5 linked regions of the Sus scrofa genome follow. Each later gene encodes a partner of the first gene's protein in a complex. Links are inferred from orthologs where the notes say so. Each region holds a gene or a part of one and is shown in the gene's direction. Other genes may lie near its edges.

The links.
Region 2: CNOT10 (region 1) and CNOT2 share a complex: the UniProt entries of both Homo sapiens proteins name them as parts of the CCR4-NOT complex. The link is inferred for Sus scrofa from reciprocal best matches to the Homo sapiens genes CNOT10 and CNOT2.
Region 3: CNOT10 (region 1) and CNOT7 share a complex: the UniProt entries of both Homo sapiens proteins name them as parts of the CCR4-NOT complex. The link is inferred for Sus scrofa from reciprocal best matches to the Homo sapiens genes CNOT10 and CNOT7.
Region 4: CNOT10 (region 1) and CNOT8 share a complex: the UniProt entries of both Homo sapiens proteins name them as parts of the CCR4-NOT complex. The link is inferred for Sus scrofa from reciprocal best matches to the Homo sapiens genes CNOT10 and CNOT8.
Region 5: CNOT10 (region 1) and CNOT11 share a complex: the UniProt entries of both Homo sapiens proteins name them as parts of the CCR4-NOT complex. The link is inferred for Sus scrofa from reciprocal best matches to the Homo sapiens genes CNOT10 and CNOT11.

Annotation. Positions count from the first base shown.
Region 1 is NC_010455.5:18,695,935-18,699,450, forward strand, and holds part of CNOT10 (CCR4-NOT transcription complex subunit 10), read left to right. Parts: intron 1-1,193; coding exon 1,194-1,315; intron 1,316-3,516. UniProt on the Homo sapiens protein: Component of the CCR4-NOT complex which is one of the major cellular mRNA deadenylases and is linked to various cellular processes including bulk mRNA degradation, miRNA-mediated repression, translational repression during translational initiation and general transcription regulation.
Region 2 is NC_010447.5:34,469,413-34,473,719, forward strand, and holds the start of CNOT2 (CCR4-NOT transcription complex subunit 2), read left to right. Parts: upstream 1-1,498; 5' UTR 1,499-1,593; coding exon 1,594-1,641; intron 1,642-4,307. UniProt on the Homo sapiens protein: Component of the CCR4-NOT complex which is one of the major cellular mRNA deadenylases and is linked to various cellular processes including bulk mRNA degradation, miRNA-mediated repression, translational repression during translational initiation and general transcription regulation.
Region 3 is NC_010459.5:4,940,084-4,943,599, reverse strand, and holds part of CNOT7 (CCR4-NOT transcription complex subunit 7), read left to right. Parts: intron 1-566; coding exon 567-728; intron 729-3,516. UniProt on the Homo sapiens protein: Has 3'-5' poly(A) exoribonuclease activity for synthetic poly(A) RNA substrate. Its function seems to be partially redundant with that of CNOT8.
Region 4 is NC_010458.4:68,332,141-68,335,024, reverse strand, and holds part of CNOT8 (CCR4-NOT transcription complex subunit 8), read left to right. Parts: intron 1-268; coding exon 269-430; intron 431-1,029; coding exon 1,030-1,174; intron 1,175-1,905; coding exon 1,906-2,016; intron 2,017-2,884. UniProt on the Homo sapiens protein: Has 3'-5' poly(A) exoribonuclease activity for synthetic poly(A) RNA substrate. Its function seems to be partially redundant with that of CNOT7.
Region 5 is NC_010445.4:53,078,515-53,082,734, reverse strand, and holds the start of CNOT11 (CCR4-NOT transcription complex subunit 11), read left to right. Parts: upstream 1-1,419; 5' UTR 1,420-1,492; coding exon 1,493-2,012; intron 2,013-4,220. UniProt on the Homo sapiens protein: Component of the CCR4-NOT complex which is one of the major cellular mRNA deadenylases and is linked to various cellular processes including bulk mRNA degradation, miRNA-mediated repression, translational repression during translational initiation and general transcription regulation.

The DNA of each region.
Region 1 (3,516 bases):
CTTATCTGTAAAGCTTTTGATTTCTCCCTCTAATCTGAATGAGAGCCTTTTTGGATAAAGTAATCTTGGTTGGAGGTTTTTCCTTTCCTCATATTAAGTGTATTGTGCCACTCCCTTCTGGGTCTGCAGAGTTTCTTCTGAAAAATCTGATAACCTTATCGGCATTCCTTTGTGTATTATTTGTTTTTTTTCCCCTAGCTGGTTTCAATATTTTCTTCATCTTTAATTTTGGTCAGTTTGATTAATATGTGTCTCAGGGTGTTCCTCCATGTGTTTATTTTATATGGTACTCTGGGCTTCCTGGATTTGAGTGAGTGGTTCCTTTCCCATGCTAGGGAAATTTTCAGCTATTATCTCTTTGAATATTTTGTCCCTTTCTCTCTCTCTTCTCCTTCTGGCACCTCTATACTATGGATGTTGATGCATTTAACATTGTCCCAGAATTCTCTTAGACTATCTTCATTTCTTTTCATTTTCCTCTTTTCTGTTCCACATCAGTGATTTCCACTAGTCTGTCCTCCACCTCACTTATTCATCTTCTGCCTCCTGTATTCTGCTGTTGGTGGCTTCTAATGAATTTTTTATTTTAGTTATTGTATTTTGCATCTCTGCTTACTTAAGTTTTAAATCTTGTATTTGTTTGGTCACTGTTTGCTGTAAATTAACATTCTTTGCCTCTAGTTTATTTCCAATATCTTGCATCATCTTCAGCATCAACAGTTTAAAGTCTTTTTCCAGGCGGCTGAGAATCTCCAGATCACTTTGCTGTTTTTCTGGGTTTTTTTTTTTTTCCCTTGCTCCCTTATCTGAGTTATAGTTCTCTGCCTTTTCATTTTTATAGGTTTTTGGTGTGGTCTCTTTTGTACAGACAGAAGTGTTGTCGCCTCTCTTACTTCTGATGTCTTCCCCCCTTGTTGCTGAAGTTGGTAAGGGGCCTTTCTCTTGAGTCATTCTTGAATTGCTTTTTTTCCTCAGAATTACCTCAAACCCTGTGTGAATAAAATACAGCATAGATCACAGATATTCAGCCCCGTGTACTCTTCACCACCAAACATATTTCCTTTATCACCCCAAACTTCACATTGATGGATCTTAAGAACTTTCTTAGAGTAATTGTGGAAAGTGCTGGGTTATTTATCATATCCCATTTTACACTTTCATTAACTTTATTGGAACTTACTTGTATTTTGTAGACTTCTGAACAAGAAACTAAAGGTCTTCCGAGTAAAAAAGGAATTGTGCAGTCTATTGTTGGTCAAGGCTATCATCGTAAAATAGTTCTGGCATCACAGTCCATACAAAATACTGTATATAAGTAAGTATTTTGCCAAGAGAAAGTATATATATTTACTGCTATTTCATAATAATGTTATTTATTAAAATATGCTCAGGAATTATTTCATTGGACAAGCCACTTTGTAGCTAGGTTTTATTGCTACTTCAAGAAATAGACCTTTACGGAATTCCTGTCATGGCACAGTGGAAACGAATCCGACTAGGAACCATGAGGTTGCGGGTTCAATCCCTGGCCTCGGTCAGTGGGTTAAAGATCCGGCATTGCCATGAGCTGTGGTGTAGGTCGCAGACACGGCTCTGATTTGGCATTGCTGTGGCTCTGGCATAGGCTGGCAGCTATAGCTTTGATTAGATCCCTAGCCTGGGAACCTCCATATGCTGCAGGTGCAGCCCTAAACGGACCAACCCCCCTCCCCCCAAAAAAAAACCCAAACAAAAAATAGACCTCTGGGAGTTCCCATCATGGCTCAGCAGAAATGAATCTGACTAGTATCCATGAGGGCACAGGTTCAATCCCTGGCCTTACTCAGTGGGTTAAGGATCTGGCATTCATGAGCTGTGGCATAGGTCACAGACAAGGCTTGGATCCTGCATTGCTGCGGCTGTGGTGTAGGCCAGCGGCTACACCGCCAATTCGACTCCAGTTCGAACCTCCATATGCCACAGGTGCAGCCTAAAAAGATTAAAAAAAGAAGTAGACCTGTATACATAGGTCTGTAGTGAATGTTATTTGACATATGGTTTTGGTTTGTTATGTCCTTGGGTGCTGACATTGTTGATGCCGAGTCTGTTCAGTGCTATTATTCAGAATGTCCAGAAGAGGGCGTCTTGATGTTTCCTTTTTATATAGTTTGTCATTGGTACTTCTCATTTATTTTCTCATAGTCCCTAAAGCTAATTAACACATATATCCACAAAAATAATATAAGGTTTTCACATGTAGAACAACTTTTCAGTTGAATAACTTTTAAATGTGAGCATCCTTCTAAAAAGATTCCAATTTGGGGTTGCTATTAATTCTAAAGTAGTAGGCTTTGTCAAAAAAAAAAAAAGTCACTCCTTTTTTTTCTTTTCCAAAAAATAAAATTGTTCACTACCATTTAAAAGTTTTTCCCAAAAGTTTTTAAAAGTATGTGGCATACAACATTTTGCTCTTAATTTATTTCAACAATAATGAAGATTTCTTTCTTTCTTTTCTTTTTCTTTCTTTTATAGTCACATGTTTGGCACATGGAAGTTCCTGGAGCTAGGGGTCAAATCTGAGCCTCAGTTGGGAGCCTACAACACAGCCACAGCAACTCAGGATCCCAGCTGTATCTTGGACCTATTCCGAAGCCTGTGGCAACACAGGATCCTTAACCCACTGAGCAAAGCCAGGGATCAAACCCACATACTTGTGGATACTAGTCAGGTATCCACAACAGGAACTCTCAGATTTCTTTTGAAAGACAAGTTAAAGCATTGGTTTCCTACAATTTCAAAACTGTTACTACTTTTCACTTTTCTTCCTTCTAGTAAAGCTGGCTCAGTTTATTATATAAAACCAATAGAAAGTTATATAAAATCTCAACAAAGTAATAAGATATAACACTGCTTTTTCAAAACGTGTAAATGAGGCATTTTCAAAAGCAAGTATCAACCAAAACAAGGCTCAAATGTAAAAAATCTACTTTCTTCCTTTCTTTCCGGTTCTTATTGTACCTGTCCTGGCCTTCATTCAGTTTTCCTTGTCTCTAAATCCTTTTTTAGATTGACACTGACATTGCAGATTTCCTTCAGGTTGTCTCCTAGCCTTGGTCCTGTTCCTTTAGACACAGTGTGGTGTGTAATGTATATACTTGAAATTTTATTTATACTTTTTGCATCTTATATACAGACAAACCTCCTTTTATTGCACTTTGCAGATGTTGCATTTTTGGTTTTCTTGTTTTTCTTTTTACAAACTGAAGGTTTTTGTGGCAGCCCTGAGTAGAGCACGTCTGTTGGTGCCATTTTACTGACAGCAATTGCTAACTTTGGGTTCTGTGTCACTCACTGGTCATTCTTGCAATATTTCAATTTTTTCATTATTATTTTTTCATGATCGCACCTGCTGCACATGGATTTTCCCAGGCGAGGGGTTGAATTCAAGCTGCAGCTACAACCCACTGCATTGAGCCAGGGGTTGAACCCAAGCCTCCACAGCAGTCCAAGCCTCTGCAATCAGATTCTTTTTTTTTT
Region 2 (4,307 bases), on another chromosome or scaffold:
CATTCTCCCTTGTTACTTTTGAGAGAGACATCTAATTGCAATAGTACATATAAATTTGGTAATACACAATTACATTTTTGCCATAGAGACTGGCATCTTTGAAGAATTTCAGCCAATCATATACAGCGTAAGATGGTCAGATGAAGTAAAAGTAGATAGTACCCACTGTTTGTGGTGAAACATAAAACAAGAGGTGGAGTGTAGGTTTTCATTACATGATATTTTTTTTAGTGACTGCACATGGAGGTCCTTGGGCCAGGAGAGTGAATCCAAGTCACAGCTGCGTCAGTGCCAGATCCTTTAACCCACTGTTCCTTAGTGGGAACTCCTTATTACATTAATTCTTTTAAAAACTTAAATCTAATAACACTAATTTTTAAAGTTTTGTTTTCCTTGAAAAATTTTTTGCCTTCTTACTAGATTGCTTTTTAGAGGTAATATATTTGTATATGTATTTGTGTGTTGATCTTAATAAAAATGATTTGCACTTCTTATGAATTTAAATTAGATGTTTTTATTTTCCTCTCCCAAAGTGAATTTTGTCTGATGTTAAATAATTGCTCTAAATTCGATTATAATTTTTAGGAGTTAGCAACTATTGTTAATTCACTAGGTGTATATACTATATACTCCTTCATTCGGGTAAACATTTTACTAAAAGTTAGGAGAGTGACATTTGTCTTGAAAATATTTAGAAATTTTTTGTAGGTACCACTTTTGAATTTTTGATCTTTCATTTTCAGTTTATATTTTTGAGTTAGCATCTCTAGCAACTATTACCTCTGTTTCGGTGATCTTTTGATGCCTGAGGAATACAGTGCCTAGTCATTTTGGATTTATTTCTCTGACCAGGTTAAGAAATAAGCTTCATTATGTTTCTGCCCTAATGTAAAAAAGAAAACTCTATTAAAGCATGCAAAAAATTGGAGAATTGAAGGACCTAGGAATCTAGAAAGTTGACAGTTGTTATTACTCTTCATTGGAGTAAATTTTAATAGAATATTGACTTAGGTTTGCACCTGTTAATCATCCTAAGATTATATGATGTATTCCCATCTTATGGCATAAGAATAAACTCCATAAACTGAATGAAGGGGGATTTGAAATTAAATGACTGAATCTGAATTAATTGGGTATTTCTAATACTAACAAATTGTTTATTTAAAAAAGGTAATGTCGATTAAGGGCTTAACTTTTTTGTCCACTCCATTTTTATTCACTATAAGTTTCTTCCTATGTGTGAGGTATGTGGCGAACAGTTTTAATAGGAGAGAGTAGAAGTGGGAGGGAAAAGTTTTTCATGCTTAATAATTTCTGTGTCAAACAAAGTATGTCTGGCAGTCTAGCCCTTCTTTGATGGTTAAGAGGAAGATCAGTTAGGACATTAAAAAAAAAAAGTTTTGGTTTTGTTTTCTTTGTATCATATTGGTATTTTTGGTACTGTTCATATATTTTACATGTTAGTAATTTTGATGGCTTTTGGATAATTCCACTCTAGAGGGAGAACTGGTGGGCGGTCCTTCCTGTGACACGACCCTTGAGTGACAGTTCTATTTGATTGCCTCCAGTACTGTGAGGAAAGGACACGACTCTATGGTGAGGACTGATGGACATACATTATCTGAGAAAAGAAACTACCAGGTAAGATCAATTTTATTTTGCTTTCTTCTGTTGGTCACGTAATTACATTGAACTGTTTAATATGTTGTATTTAGGAACCAGCAGATTGGATAGACCTCAACCTGAAAAATGTGGGTTATAATTTTTTAAATGATATATGTATATATATGGCTTAATAGTTGAAATAGTTTGGAACATTTTTCATAATAAAGCATACTTATAAGAAATGTGTATTCTTTTAGTGTCAGAACATAAATTTTCTCCTGTGTGTGTATATATGTCAAAACTTAGATTATCTGATGCACAATTTTTGACTTTGTGGCTGGATTCAGACCTAGTATTTCATAAAATAAAATATTGATTGCTTTTACACGTATGATTCCTGGAAGACTAAAACTGAAGTCTTAGATTATATTGAGGGTACTAGAGCGTTACAGAAATGTAGACAAAATTGGTTAGCATTTAGAAGAAATAGAAATGAAAATTCAGGGTGTTCAGAGACCCAGATTCTATTGAATTGTCATTGGCTTGCTGTTCTCATAATTTCTCATTTATTAAGTTAGTTTATAAATCCATTCCCTATGAAGTATGTAAGGATGCTAATACGATGGTTGAAGTGTAATATTTTTGTTTCTTTCTCAGCTTATAAAAGAAGGTGAATTTTAAAGATAGTGCTATTAAATAGTGATTTCAAAACCCATAATATTTGAATTTAGTTTTTTCAAAGACATTTGGCTTTATTCATTTGACAATAATTTAATATCAAATTATGTAGTGATTCAGAATACAGAATAGTTCATAGCTCAAGTAGGGGTAAGCTTCAGACTTCCTGCACAGGTACCTATCTAACCTCTCCCTCTTCCACTTACCAGTTTTATTCCCTCTAGGCTGTGAAGGCAACTAGTCTGATAGTAGATGCTTTTGTTAACTAACCATTTGTCTTTTAATTATTTATTTTGGCACAATTAGTCTTTTCTTCCCTCAGATTGGAAGAGTGAACAGTGAAGAAAATTGTAAATGGTGAAATAGTAAAGAACCTTTGAGCATAATACTTAGGTTCTGGTTTGGGCTCTGTCCTAATACAAAATACTGTCATATTTAACCTTTGTAGAATTTGACCTAATTTGATGTCTGAAGTTTCTCACCAGATTTTTATAATTTTAATAAATCAGAGTAAGCTATGACTATATAGAATCAGTTCTCTCTGTAACCTTTTCTGTTCTGAGTTGTTTTTATTGGCTCAAGTGACGTGGCCTTTGCTCATTACTTGTAGCTCCTGCCTCAAAACCGCTTCCATCTACCTTGACTCATAAGATTTTAATTGGTTACACTGCTTGGGCTATTATGTCTTTTGATAGAATCTGCTAAATTACTTTAAGAAATTGTGATTGTGCATTATGTGGCTTTTAAGTGTTTATAATCCAGTTAATAAAATGTAAGTATAGAACTTTTTTATGATCATATGGTATGGTTAATTGACTACAGAATCTAATAATAGAGAATTCCAAATTTTACACATTAGAAAGGAATAAAATGAGATATTTTACACATGAAGAGATTTCCTAATTTCTGTTCATTCTACTCTAAAAAAATTATTTGGAATCACACTATTTCAGTCACATTATTTATAAATAATCCAAGTGTTTTTGAGCTTACCTGAAAATGCATTCATTCTTGGTTAGGGTTTTTCTACCTGAAAATATTTTTCCTTTTCTTTTTTGTGTTATGTAGTTATGCATGTTGAAATATTCCTGAAAACTGTTCTTTAAATTTCCATTGTAAAATTATTTTATTTTTAAAAGCCTCCTCTGAAAAGTGAATGTATAGGAATATAATTTGCTGTCTGATAATTATGAACATATTAACAGCATATGGGAAATTTAAAGGAATATTAGATAAATTTCTAATATTTATATTGTTAGAAGTAGGATTTGTATATGCAGAGATGAAATGATTTGGGTTTTTAAAGATTTCATTTTGGAGGAATTTTGTTGTTTCTCATGAATAAAGTAGAATTTCTTTGTATCCGTGTATACTCATTTTACGTTTGAGGCCTTTTGTTTTTGGAGGGTGCTTGATGTCTTATAGTGATATTTAAACATTCTGATAGTATAGGCTAATATTCCGGAGTTAATAAGAATAATATTTTTCCAGTTCTTATTTCATTATGGACCTGATTAAAGACTTCAGAATTAATTTGGGAAGGTGCATTCCCTCAGCTTCCTGCTAAGAGCTGGTGACTTCAAATGGATGTTGGTTAAAGTATTAATTTTTCTACCATTATCTATTTCATGTTTTTTATTTCTTACTGTACGTTTAAGCCCAGTTAAGTTTTTTGCGTTTGAGTAGAGTAGTTGAAGTTTATTTGTGTATATAGACTGGTATGTTAGTCTGAACTAAATAGTTCAGACAAGTTAATTTAATTATATGAATGGTTTATAGTTCATTCTTTTTTGTAAGAATTGTAAAGCTTCTGCCAAGGGAATGTAACATCAGTTTTTGTTTAGAATTTTCTTATCTTCCTCTCATTTACACTGATTTATTCCAGCTATGAGCATGCATAAATCTAACCATATTAATTGCCAGATAACTTATCAGTGTTGTCTTTGTCTCTCTTACATAATAAAGACTAGCTCCTAAACATTACATATAAAATCTTGCCACATTCCTATGCCACATGCTTTTAT
Region 3 (3,516 bases), on another chromosome or scaffold:
TATCGGGGCCATTTGAAAGGCTCATCGTTAGAGGAGGCATCTCCTTTTTATTTAAGATAGAATGTAGTTTCACTCAGTCACATCAGATGCTTCGCATTTGGTCTTCTTCCTGGTACTGCTGAGAGCCTGGGAGTTGGACCCAGGCCCTCACCCCTGTGGCTGCGGCTCCATTTGGCAGCATTAAAGTGGCTGCTGAGACCAAAAACCCCTGATAGGAATGTGTCTGTTACTTTGTGGTGGTAATGGCTGGTGAGTAGAAGACACTTTTTTTCCCCAAACCCAGTTAAATTTATTTAACTTGTGAACCGCTAATGAAATTGATAGTATAGATTAAAATCTTACCATTGGATTGTTCTGAATGATTATTATTTACTGTATGAACATTTTTCCACAATACTTAATGACCATTATATTTAAATTGTATTTTCACTCCATATATGCAAAGCTTTGGAATTAAACGCCAATCTTCTCTCTCGTTACTGACATTACAGTTTTAGATGTAAATGGGAGAAAATCAGTTTGAAGTATGACACTTTTGAATGTTGTCTTTCTTTTTCTCCTGCCAGGGAGGACATGTATGCCCAAGACTCTATAGAGCTACTGACAACATCTGGTATCCAGTTTAAAAAACATGAGGAGGAAGGAATTGAAACCCAGTACTTTGCAGAACTTCTTATGACTTCAGGAGTAGTCCTCTGTGAAGGGGTCAAATGGTTATCATTTCATAGGTAAAAAGATTGCCTTGAAAGTGGCATTTGTGTTACCATTTCCTGATTGCTTCACACTTGGTTTGGGTCACTCTGTCAGCAATTTCAGGCTTAGTTCTACAAAGTATTGGCTGCCATATAGCAGTCTCTTAACTCTCCAAGCTAATTGAAAAGTTAATTTAATGATATGGGATCCATTTTAGGCTGTCAAAGAGATAGTATTGCATAGTCGAAAGAGGGCAGGCTGGAAAAGTAGACCTGGTTTAAGTTCAGCAATCCCAGAGTTCCCTTCGTGGCTCAGCAGTAATGAGCCCAAGTAGTATTCATGAGGATGCCAGTTCAATCCCAAGCCTTGCTCAGTGGGTTAAGGATCCAGCATTTCCGTGAGCTGTGGTGTAGGTCGCAGATGTGGCTCAGATCCCAAGTGGCTGTGACTGTGGTGTAGGCCAGCAGCTGCAGCTCCGATTTGACCCCTAGCCTTGGAACTACCATATACCACTGGTATGTGGAAAAATATATATTTTTTGGTGAGGTGAGGGCCTGGGTCCAAAATCAGTCGATCGATCCATCCCTCCATCCAGCAGTGCCATTTGGAATCTGTGTTACCTAGGGTTATTTAACATTTCTAAGCCTTAGAATGGAAACATTTATTCATTTTAAAAGTATTTATTTGTTATCCTTCATATGCCAAGCACTATGATAATATTCTAGGAATTAAGCTATGAACAAAATAGACTAAAATTTTGATTTCATGGAGTTCACATTCTGGTGGGAGTAGACAGACAAGTTTTTTAAATGATGAACGTATATTTTAGTTTGTTAGGTGGTGGTAAATGCTATGGAAAAAAATTGATAAAGAGAAAGCTAGAGGTGTGTGTGGTGGATTTTAATTTTTTTAAATAGGATATTAGGAAGAAATACTTAGAATTAGCTTAAATTGTTTTAATGATCAGTAGTGACATATTTAAAGCATCTAGTAAAGTGCTCTACACACAGTAAATTCTCAATAAATGGTAGTTTTTAATTCTTATCATACAATTAGGTTGTTGAGAATTTCTGGAAAGGAAATTCTATTTTGTATAAACAGACTTTTAGCTAAGAGAAAGAGTTTTCCTATCTAAGTAAACTACATTAAACTGGCAACTCAGGGACTAAAAGTGCTTCGGGAATGATTTTATTTGGCCTTTTGTTATGTTTTTAAAATGCATTGAATTATGCAGGTATTAATATTCTCACACTTGGTCTACTTTAGCATTTAAAAAAAAAAAAGTTTCTGCATGCTGTGTATTTCCAGCACTGGCCTCAGTAATAAAAGACTAGTGAAGGACTGTTCATACCGTCAACCTCAGCGTAGTACTAAGCAGTCATTTTTGAGCTGGAGTATTGAACTTACTCATATCCACCTATCTTTTTTTCTCTGTTTTCCTTCACTTGAGTCTGTACCTCAGGAAATGAGGCTTAAGTCTCTGGTAATTTGAGGGATGTTTTTTGAGTTCTTTTTTCACTTCCCTAGTCTTGAAGATGCAAAAGAACTGGAAAGCATTGTCCTCTTTTTAACTATGTATGATAGTTCTTTCATTCAAAAAATAGTCTGAGGCATTACTTTGTTTTAGGCATTGGAATATTAAGATGAATAAAAACAGGGAGTTCCCTGGTGGTCTAATGGTTGGATTCAGCAGCCTGGGTTCAATCCCTGGTCTGGGAACTGAGATTCCACTTAAGGATGCCTGTCATGGCCAAAAAAAAATTTTTCAATTTTTTTATAAAAGATGAACAAAAACAGGGGTCATGTCTTGAATCTAGGTTTGACTATTTGAGTATTGTCAAGATATGTAAGATTTCATTCTCCTAAATGTCATTAAATATTTTCTTCATAGTCTTATTTCTAGTAGATAAGGACTTAAGAAATTTATAAATACTAAATTCTAAAACAACTTGTTTTTACCTAGTAGTAAGCAATATATTGACTTGTATTTTAGGTAGATAAAGAAGTTACTTTCTTGTCAACTGCCAGAAATTTAAAGGTTTCTAGCGTTTGTTTATACCTTGATATTCCTTAATGGTCTTCAGTATTAAAAATTTGTTTTTCTCCGTGTTAAGAAGTATAATTCTAAACCTTGAATAGAAATTTATTTGTAATCTTCCTTTAAAAGATATCTTAGTAGCATCTGTCATCAAATATTTGAGTCCTAACTAAATGGAAAGTTTTTTTAAGATGTGATACCTCCCTTTAAACGCATGGAGAAAACAATACCTACGCTTTAAAGGGTGATAAAAAAGAACTTGTCTGAGAACTCTGTGGGAGCTGAGCTCTTTAGGGAAGGCTTCGGATAGAGGTCCTTAAAGGTAGACAGGGAGAAGGAGGTGCGATTGTGGGGGAAATGTGGGGCGATATAAACCTGTGGCGAAAGCTAAACAACAGGAAGAGGAGATCTTGAGAGTGGGGAGTTTTTTATTCTCTAGTTAGTAGTTCTCAGCTTTTGCTACCTTCCTTCTTTCATGAGCAGCATTCCTATCTCTTGGGGATTGAGATAGGAACAGAATTTTGAGTGAAGAGAGTACTTATTAATAAAATCACTTAAGGGAAGTGAAAATACTTTGTTAAGAATTACACTCTGGATTTTTGAAGTATGTGACCTCTTTATATAAAAAATGGGAGGATATGCATTAATTTTTGCCTTCTAAATGCCAATTCTCTATCTTTTGGCTTTTTTCCAAGTTTCCATTCATCTTTAATTTTTCAGATGTTTGCTGTGGACAGCTTGATACCCCTTAGAAAGTTCTCTATTTAAGGATTACAGAATGGTAG
Region 4 (2,884 bases), on another chromosome or scaffold:
AAATCCGGGCCACATCTGCAACCTACACCACAGCTCACAGCAGTGCTGGATCCTTAACCCACTGAGCAAGGCCAGGGATCAAATATGCGTCCTCATGGATACTAGTCAGGTTTGTTACTGCTCAGCCATAATGGGAACTCTGATTTATTCTTAAATTATGAAAACATTTCGGGAATACCTATTCTGTAGTTTATAAGGTGATGGTAATGTTGCCCACTACTTCTGTTACCTTATCCACCAGCTGAGACAGGCACACCTTCTTTTTCAGAGAGGACATGTACTCCCAGGATTCCATAGATCTCCTTGCTAACTCAGGACTCCAGTTTCAGAAGCATGAAGAGGAAGGGATTGACACGTTGCACTTTGCAGAGCTGCTTATGACATCAGGGGTGGTTCTCTGTGACAACGTCAAGTGGCTTTCATTTCACAGGTCAGTCTCCGAGGATGTTTCTCTCTTGCTTTGGAAGCAGGGAATTGCGTTATGTTATTTTTGGAGTCCTCTTGGCTCTCTTTTGTTGCTCACTAGCAGTTATAAAGTTGAAATGGTATTGGTTGCTCATATTTCAGTTTTGCAAAAAACACTTTGGGGCTCATATTGGTTTGAGTAATAGGCTCTACCACATGCCTATACAGTGGATGTACGCCAAGTGGAAAGAAGGAGGATGAGGAGGGTGGAAGCATTTGGTTGTCTTTTTCTTGTCTTTTAAATGGCTGGCCTCGAGTTTCCTAGGTACTCAAAAACCAGATTCCCCTTAGGAATAACCTTAGGAGAGGTTATTTTATCTTTCAGTACTTGTGAATTTTTGATGAATAAAGCCCACATTTATAAACCCTTCAGTTCTCTTATATGTCGTCCACATTACTCTGTTATGTTATTATTTAGTGGAACGTTTAGAGTACAGGATAAGCTACTTTGGAAAATGTAAAGTTCCTAACATGAGGCCGTATGGGAAACCGAGCAATAAAGCATTTGAACCTGGGGCCTGATGACTGCTGCGTTCACCTCATTGCCTCACTCTCTCCTTGTAGTGGCTATGACTTTGGCTACATGGTAAAGTTACTTACAGATTCTCGCCTGCCAGAAGAGGAACATGAATTCTTTCATATTCTGAACCTTTTCTTCCCATCCATTTATGATGTGAAATACCTGATGAAGAGTTGCAAAAATCTTAAGGTACATGATATTTTTTTTCCCACAATATATTTCTTAATAATAATAACAACAACAACAAGACAAAAAAAGCAGACGTGTAATTTTGCTTTATTGTGGTTTGTTCAGCATGCGTCCTTGAGTACATGCTAGGTGCCAGCACTGTACTAGACAAGGGTGTATTGGCACCCTGACTGACTGGCACCGGGATTTGTGTGTTAACTGTCTTTAACCTGGGCAGGAAGGGACCCCTCTGCTTCTCTCACCCTAAGGCAGGCATTCTTCACTAAGGGCCCATGAACCTAGTGAAACCCTTAGCGACATGAAGTATATATAACAATGATTCATAGGGATGGGGTCTACTGTGTACCAGACTCTCAGAAGGGTTCTTAGCCCTAGATGATTTAAGAACTCCCTTCCCTAATGAGAGGCTTGCTGTCTAGAATTAGACTGGCGTTTACTATTCCCTTGACCTTGTTTTGTAGCAGTGGGGATTTTCAGGGGCAGAGGTCTGACAAAATTATAGATATAGAAACAAAATTAAAGAAATAGAAAACAAAGACGGGAAAAGTGGAATAGAATACAGTGTATCCTTTGGAGCGCTAAGAAGGGGGGTACTGCTGGGGTAAGCCTGGTAAGTAAATGGCCTGTTCCTACTTCTCATCACCAAATGTAGTAAGTCAGGAGTGGACATAGTTGACTCCAGTAGAGGAGTCAAGACTGTGACACTAACTTTGTTTTCCTTACATTTCCAGGGAGGTCTTCAGGAAGTTGCCGATCAGTTGGATTTGCAGAGAATTGGGAGGCAGCACCAGGCAGGCTCAGACTCGCTGCTGACGGGAATGGCATTCTTCAGGATGAAAGAGGTGAGGCAGAGAGGCTTTGGGGGCTGAGGTTTGTTGAAAATTTATAGTTTCTCATAGAAGTTGATGACTACCTTGAAGGCAGTATTTTTTTTTTTTTTGGTTTGTTCATTATGCATATGTTCAGTACCTTAAGTGTGATTTGGGAGGAAAGAAGCATTTTGAAATGGAGGCTACTCAATACGCTCAAGGCTAGATGTATACTTGCTGTTCCTAGCAGCTCTAATCCTTGCAGTGATTTGCTTTTATTCCAATTTCTATAATATGAACACATGTCAAACCACCCACTTATTTTATGCAAAGTTCTGTTAATTATCAAATGTCCCACGGCTAACATCTCAAACTCAGTGGTGAAGAATTGAAAGCTTTTCCTTTAGGATCAGGAACAAGACAAGGATGCCCACTCACTACTTTTTATTCAACATGCTCTTAGCCGGAGCAGTTAGGCCAAAAAAAAAAAAAAAGAAAGAAAAGAAAAAGGAAATACAAGGATCCAAATCAGAAAGGAGGAAAAACTATGACTCTTTTCAGATGACATAATAATATGTATAGAAAACCCTAAAAACTCCACCAAAAAAATTGTTAGAACTAATAAATGAATCCAGTAAAATTGCAGAATACAAAATTAATGTACAAAAATCTGTTGTGTTTCTGTATCCTAATGGTGAACGGCATACTATCAGAATGAGAAATTATGAAAACAGTCCCATTTTATAGTTGCGTCAAAAAGAATAAAATAACCTTGGAATAAATTTTACCAAGGAGGTGAAAGACTTGCATACTGAAAACTCTAAGACAGTGATGAAAGAAACTGAAGAAGACACAAATAAATGGAAAGATATTCCAGGTCCATGGATTGGAAGAATTAATA
Region 5 (4,220 bases), on another chromosome or scaffold:
TCAAATCAGAGCTGCAGCTGCTGGCCTACACCACAGCCACAGCCACAGCCACAGCAACGTGGGAGCTGAACTTCGTCTGTGACCTACACCACAGCTCACAGAAACACTGGATCCTTAACCCCTGAGGGAAGCCAGGGATGGAATACGCAACCTCATGGTTCCTAGTAGAATTTGTTTCCGCTGCGCCACAACACTGAGCTGCTATCATTTTTTTCAGCATAGACTGGATTTCTGCAACTGGCCTGGTGGGAATTGCTAGTTGAAATCCTTGTAGGGTTTTGTAGGTCTAGGGAGGAACCTTGCAAGTCTGGGACCAGCCACTTGGTGGGTCCCAGCCTGGAGTGCACACTAGTCACCTGGGCAGATGTTTTTGCTTTTTAAAAATTTTACTAGGGCTGCACCTGTGGCGTATGTAGGTTCCCAGGCTAGGGGTCGAATCCGAGCTGTAGCTGCTGGCCTATGCCACGGCCACAGCAACATCAGATCCGAGCCACATTTGTGACCTACACCACAGCTCACGGCAACCCTGGATCCTTAACCCAGGGATTAAGGATCGAGGCCAGGGATTGAACCAGCATCCTAATGGATGCTAGTCAGATTCGTTTCCCCTGAGCCAGGACAGGACCTCTGTTTTTGCTTTTTGTTTGTTCATACCTGGCCATTAGGGCCAGGATTTGTAAAGGATTCCTGGAAACTTCCAGTGCACAGCTAAGGCCCAGAATGAGCGACCTAGGGCAGACTAGGTAAGAAGTTGCAAAGCAGGAGTTCCCTCGCGGTGCAGTGGGTTAAGGATCAGGCGTGGAGTAGGTTTGGTTCCTGGCTTGGGAATTTTTGTTTGCCACAGCGCAGCCAAAGAAAAAGTTGCACAACAATTTTGTATATAAATGTTTATTGTTAAGTTTCCAGAGATCTTGTTAAAATAGCCATGTACATGTGCAGTATGATTCCATTTCTTTAAAAAGGAGTGTAAGTCTAAAAATTAACTTTGCTTATGAGAAACATGTTATCCTTATCTGCACTTAAAGTTTTAGCATGACCATCCATGTGTGTTATATTAAAAAAGATTTCATATTCTAACATGCATTTTTCCAAACAAATAACACCGTCCTTTATTGAGACCGTTCGTTCCCGCACTGCCCAGGGGGGTCCTGGGGGCTGAACTCTTGAAGGAGGACAGGCAGACTATGCCGCAGCGGGGGGGCTATGGCACCGCTTGACTCCCACAGCGCGAGACCCGGCCGGGCCCCTCCCTCAGGCCCCGCCCCCATTTCCGGCGCTTTGCCCCGCCCACCCAGCGTCTGGGGATCTTCTCCCTGGCCCGGCACCAGCAGCCTCGCTCTGGCTCCGCGCTGCCCTTTCCGCGGCCGGCTGGTTTCTCGGTGTGTTTTGTTTGCGACGCTGTCGTGCAACAGCGCGCTTTACGGCCGCAGGGACGGAGCGAGCCGGCGCCAGGGCCACTCTGGCCGGGGAGCAGGGCGGGCGGGTGAGGTTGATGCCCGGCGGCGGGGCGAGCGCGGCGTCTGGCCGGCTTTTCACCGCCGCAGAGCAAAGAGGGACCCGGGAAGGGGCGGGGTCGGCGTCCAGGTGCGGCCCGGGGGTCTCCGGCTCCGGCAGCGGCAGAGGCGGAGCGGGCGTCCCCGGGCCGGGGAGTGGAGGCCCGGGGGGCCCTGCGGGCAGGATGAGCCTGACCCCGAAGGAACTCTCGAGCCTGCTGAGCATTATCTCGGAGGAGGCGGGCGGCGGCAGCACCTTCGAGGGCCTGTCTACCGCATTCCACCACTACTTCAGCAAGGCCGACCACTTCCGCCTGGGCTCGGTGCTGGTCATGCTGCTGCAGCAGCCAGACCTGCTGCCCAGCGCGGCGCAGCGCCTCACGGCGCTCTATTTGCTCTGGGAGATGTACCGCACCGAACCGCTCGCCGCCAACCCCTTCGCCGCCAGCTTCGCGCATCTGCTCAACCCCGCGCCGCCCGCCCGCGGCGGCCAGGAACCCGACCGGCCGCCGCTCTCAGGTACGCCCGGGGCCAGGTGTGCGTCGCCGAGGGTGAGATTGGCAGCTTCTCGGCCTTCACCCGCACTTGAAACTGATTGTTGCCTTTTGAGATTCCCTACCCCCCACCCCTTCCACCAAGTATGAAGAAGTAACAGCTTCATGGCGCCGAAAATTATCCCTCCCAACAATGCAGGTGGTCCAATCACGCAGCGTAATATGGGGCTTGATGGTTTAGCGCCTCAGATAAAATTTGTTCTCGTCAAGCCCGTCGGAGGTGTGTGAAGTTGTAAGTAATGACACACTGGATCTGCCCCCGGCTTTTAGTCTCAGACGAGTCAATTAGGAGTCATTCAGAACCTGAGGAAGTTGAGCGGAAACACATTTAACAGCGTTTAAGGACATCACAGCCACCTTCTTCTTGCTGTTAGGTCTTTGGGTAATGCGATGGGGGCGGAGGAGAGAAAGTCTCAAATTCACGGCCTAGGTTAGAAAACCCAAGGCTGTTGGACATGATGTGAAAGTTATGCTCGGTCAACTTCCGTGAAGATCGGTGGGTTTGATAGGAGGCTGCCTTTTTAAAAAAAAAAAAAAAACTCCAGAGATGCTTTATGAGACTTGAATTTGGGAGAAGACCTAAACCGGGCGAGGGGAAAGGCCCAGAAGAGATGGTGGTGAGGGTACCTGGAAGACTTAGTCAAGGACCAGTGTAGGGGGTGAGGCAGGTAGAGAGGTGGGAAGCAGCTTGATGGTAGGGTCCTTCAGCGGTGGTAAGACAGGCAGATCACTCCTTAGGTAGGGGGCTGCTATATAGGGAGCCAAGAGGTAAAGGCAGCCGGTTTTGAGTAAATACCAGAGGATTTCCTTGCAGGTGAGGGCTTCCACATTTTAAGATGGTCGTTTTTCCCGCTGCCCACTCCTCTGGATCTTAAGCATCTTCTGGTTGGTTTCCTGCACTGCCCTTGACCTAAGAGGAGTAACCTTTGTATTCCTTGAGGTGTCTGTGGGGTGGGGTGGGGAATGGTACTAAACCTGACTTTCAGGGAGTTTAAGAATGCCCAGAAAGTGGTTTTAATGTGTGTATTCGTCAAACCCACCACCCAAGATGGATGGGGGACAGTTTGGGATTTGGGTTGGGCGCTTTGAATTCTGTAGTCTGGGGTCAAGCCAAGGAACCGTAACCGTCATTCTCAATTGTGATGATTCCAAACCTAGATCTAGGCCGTAGACTGTGTTGTAAACACAAATCTGCCAGGGAAGGAATTCATGGGATTGGTTATTTTGCTGCTGTGCCTCATTTTCCTCATCCGTAAATTGCAGATAATTCTTAGCTGGTAGAGTTAGTATGAGGGGTAAGGGTATCTGCGGTAAGTGTTGTCCATTATTATCATTACTAGGTAGGGATGGTGCTTAAATACCCAACAGGGGGACTGCTGCTGCAGGCTTATTATATTTCACCTCAGGGGGAGCACCTAATGAGTATATGTTTTGAAAGTTTTTCAGATGATTCTGATGCAGAGCCAAGGTTGAGAATGTACCTGGAAGTAAGTAGGATGGCTTCCTTGCACTCTGTCAGGTTGAGACCAGACATAACTGTAGCCCCATGTGGTTAAGGCTGTACCAGATGTCTCACCCACAGGGCCTCAAGGCCCAGGAGCTCGTGTCTGTGCAGCTGGAGAGGCTTTACGAGGGAGCGATGTTTTTGCTGGATATTGATGGTGGGGAGAGAAGCACGTGGTCCTCTCAGGTATTTTTAAGGAGTTGGGTGTATTGGGTGTTTTGAAATAGGAATCAGGGAAGCTGAAAGATTTTGTGCACCTGAATCGTGGAACTCACAGATGGAGAGAAGTTCAGGAGATGAGATGAGGAAAGTGGGTTGGGACCAGATTACGAAAGTCCTACACTGGTGCCAACGTTTGAGTTTAATTCTCTGTAAATAGGTTAAGTATTGTGAGCAGATTTGTACCTAGAAATATAACCAAATGGTAAGTGGGGGTGTGGACTGTGGGTGGTGAATAGTCTGGCCACCCCTCTGCCTGAGAGGGAGGGAGGACAGACGGATGAGGCCCGGTGAGCAGGTGACTGTGGCAAGGGAGGGCCGCTGGGCTTGGCGCTGTGGGAATTGTAGCCGAGCTGTGTGTAGAAGCAGGTGTGTGGAGTAGTGTCTTTGGAACTTGTGATGCTTCCTCATCTTTCCAGCTTTAATGCAGTTGCTAGTAGCAGCAGAGAA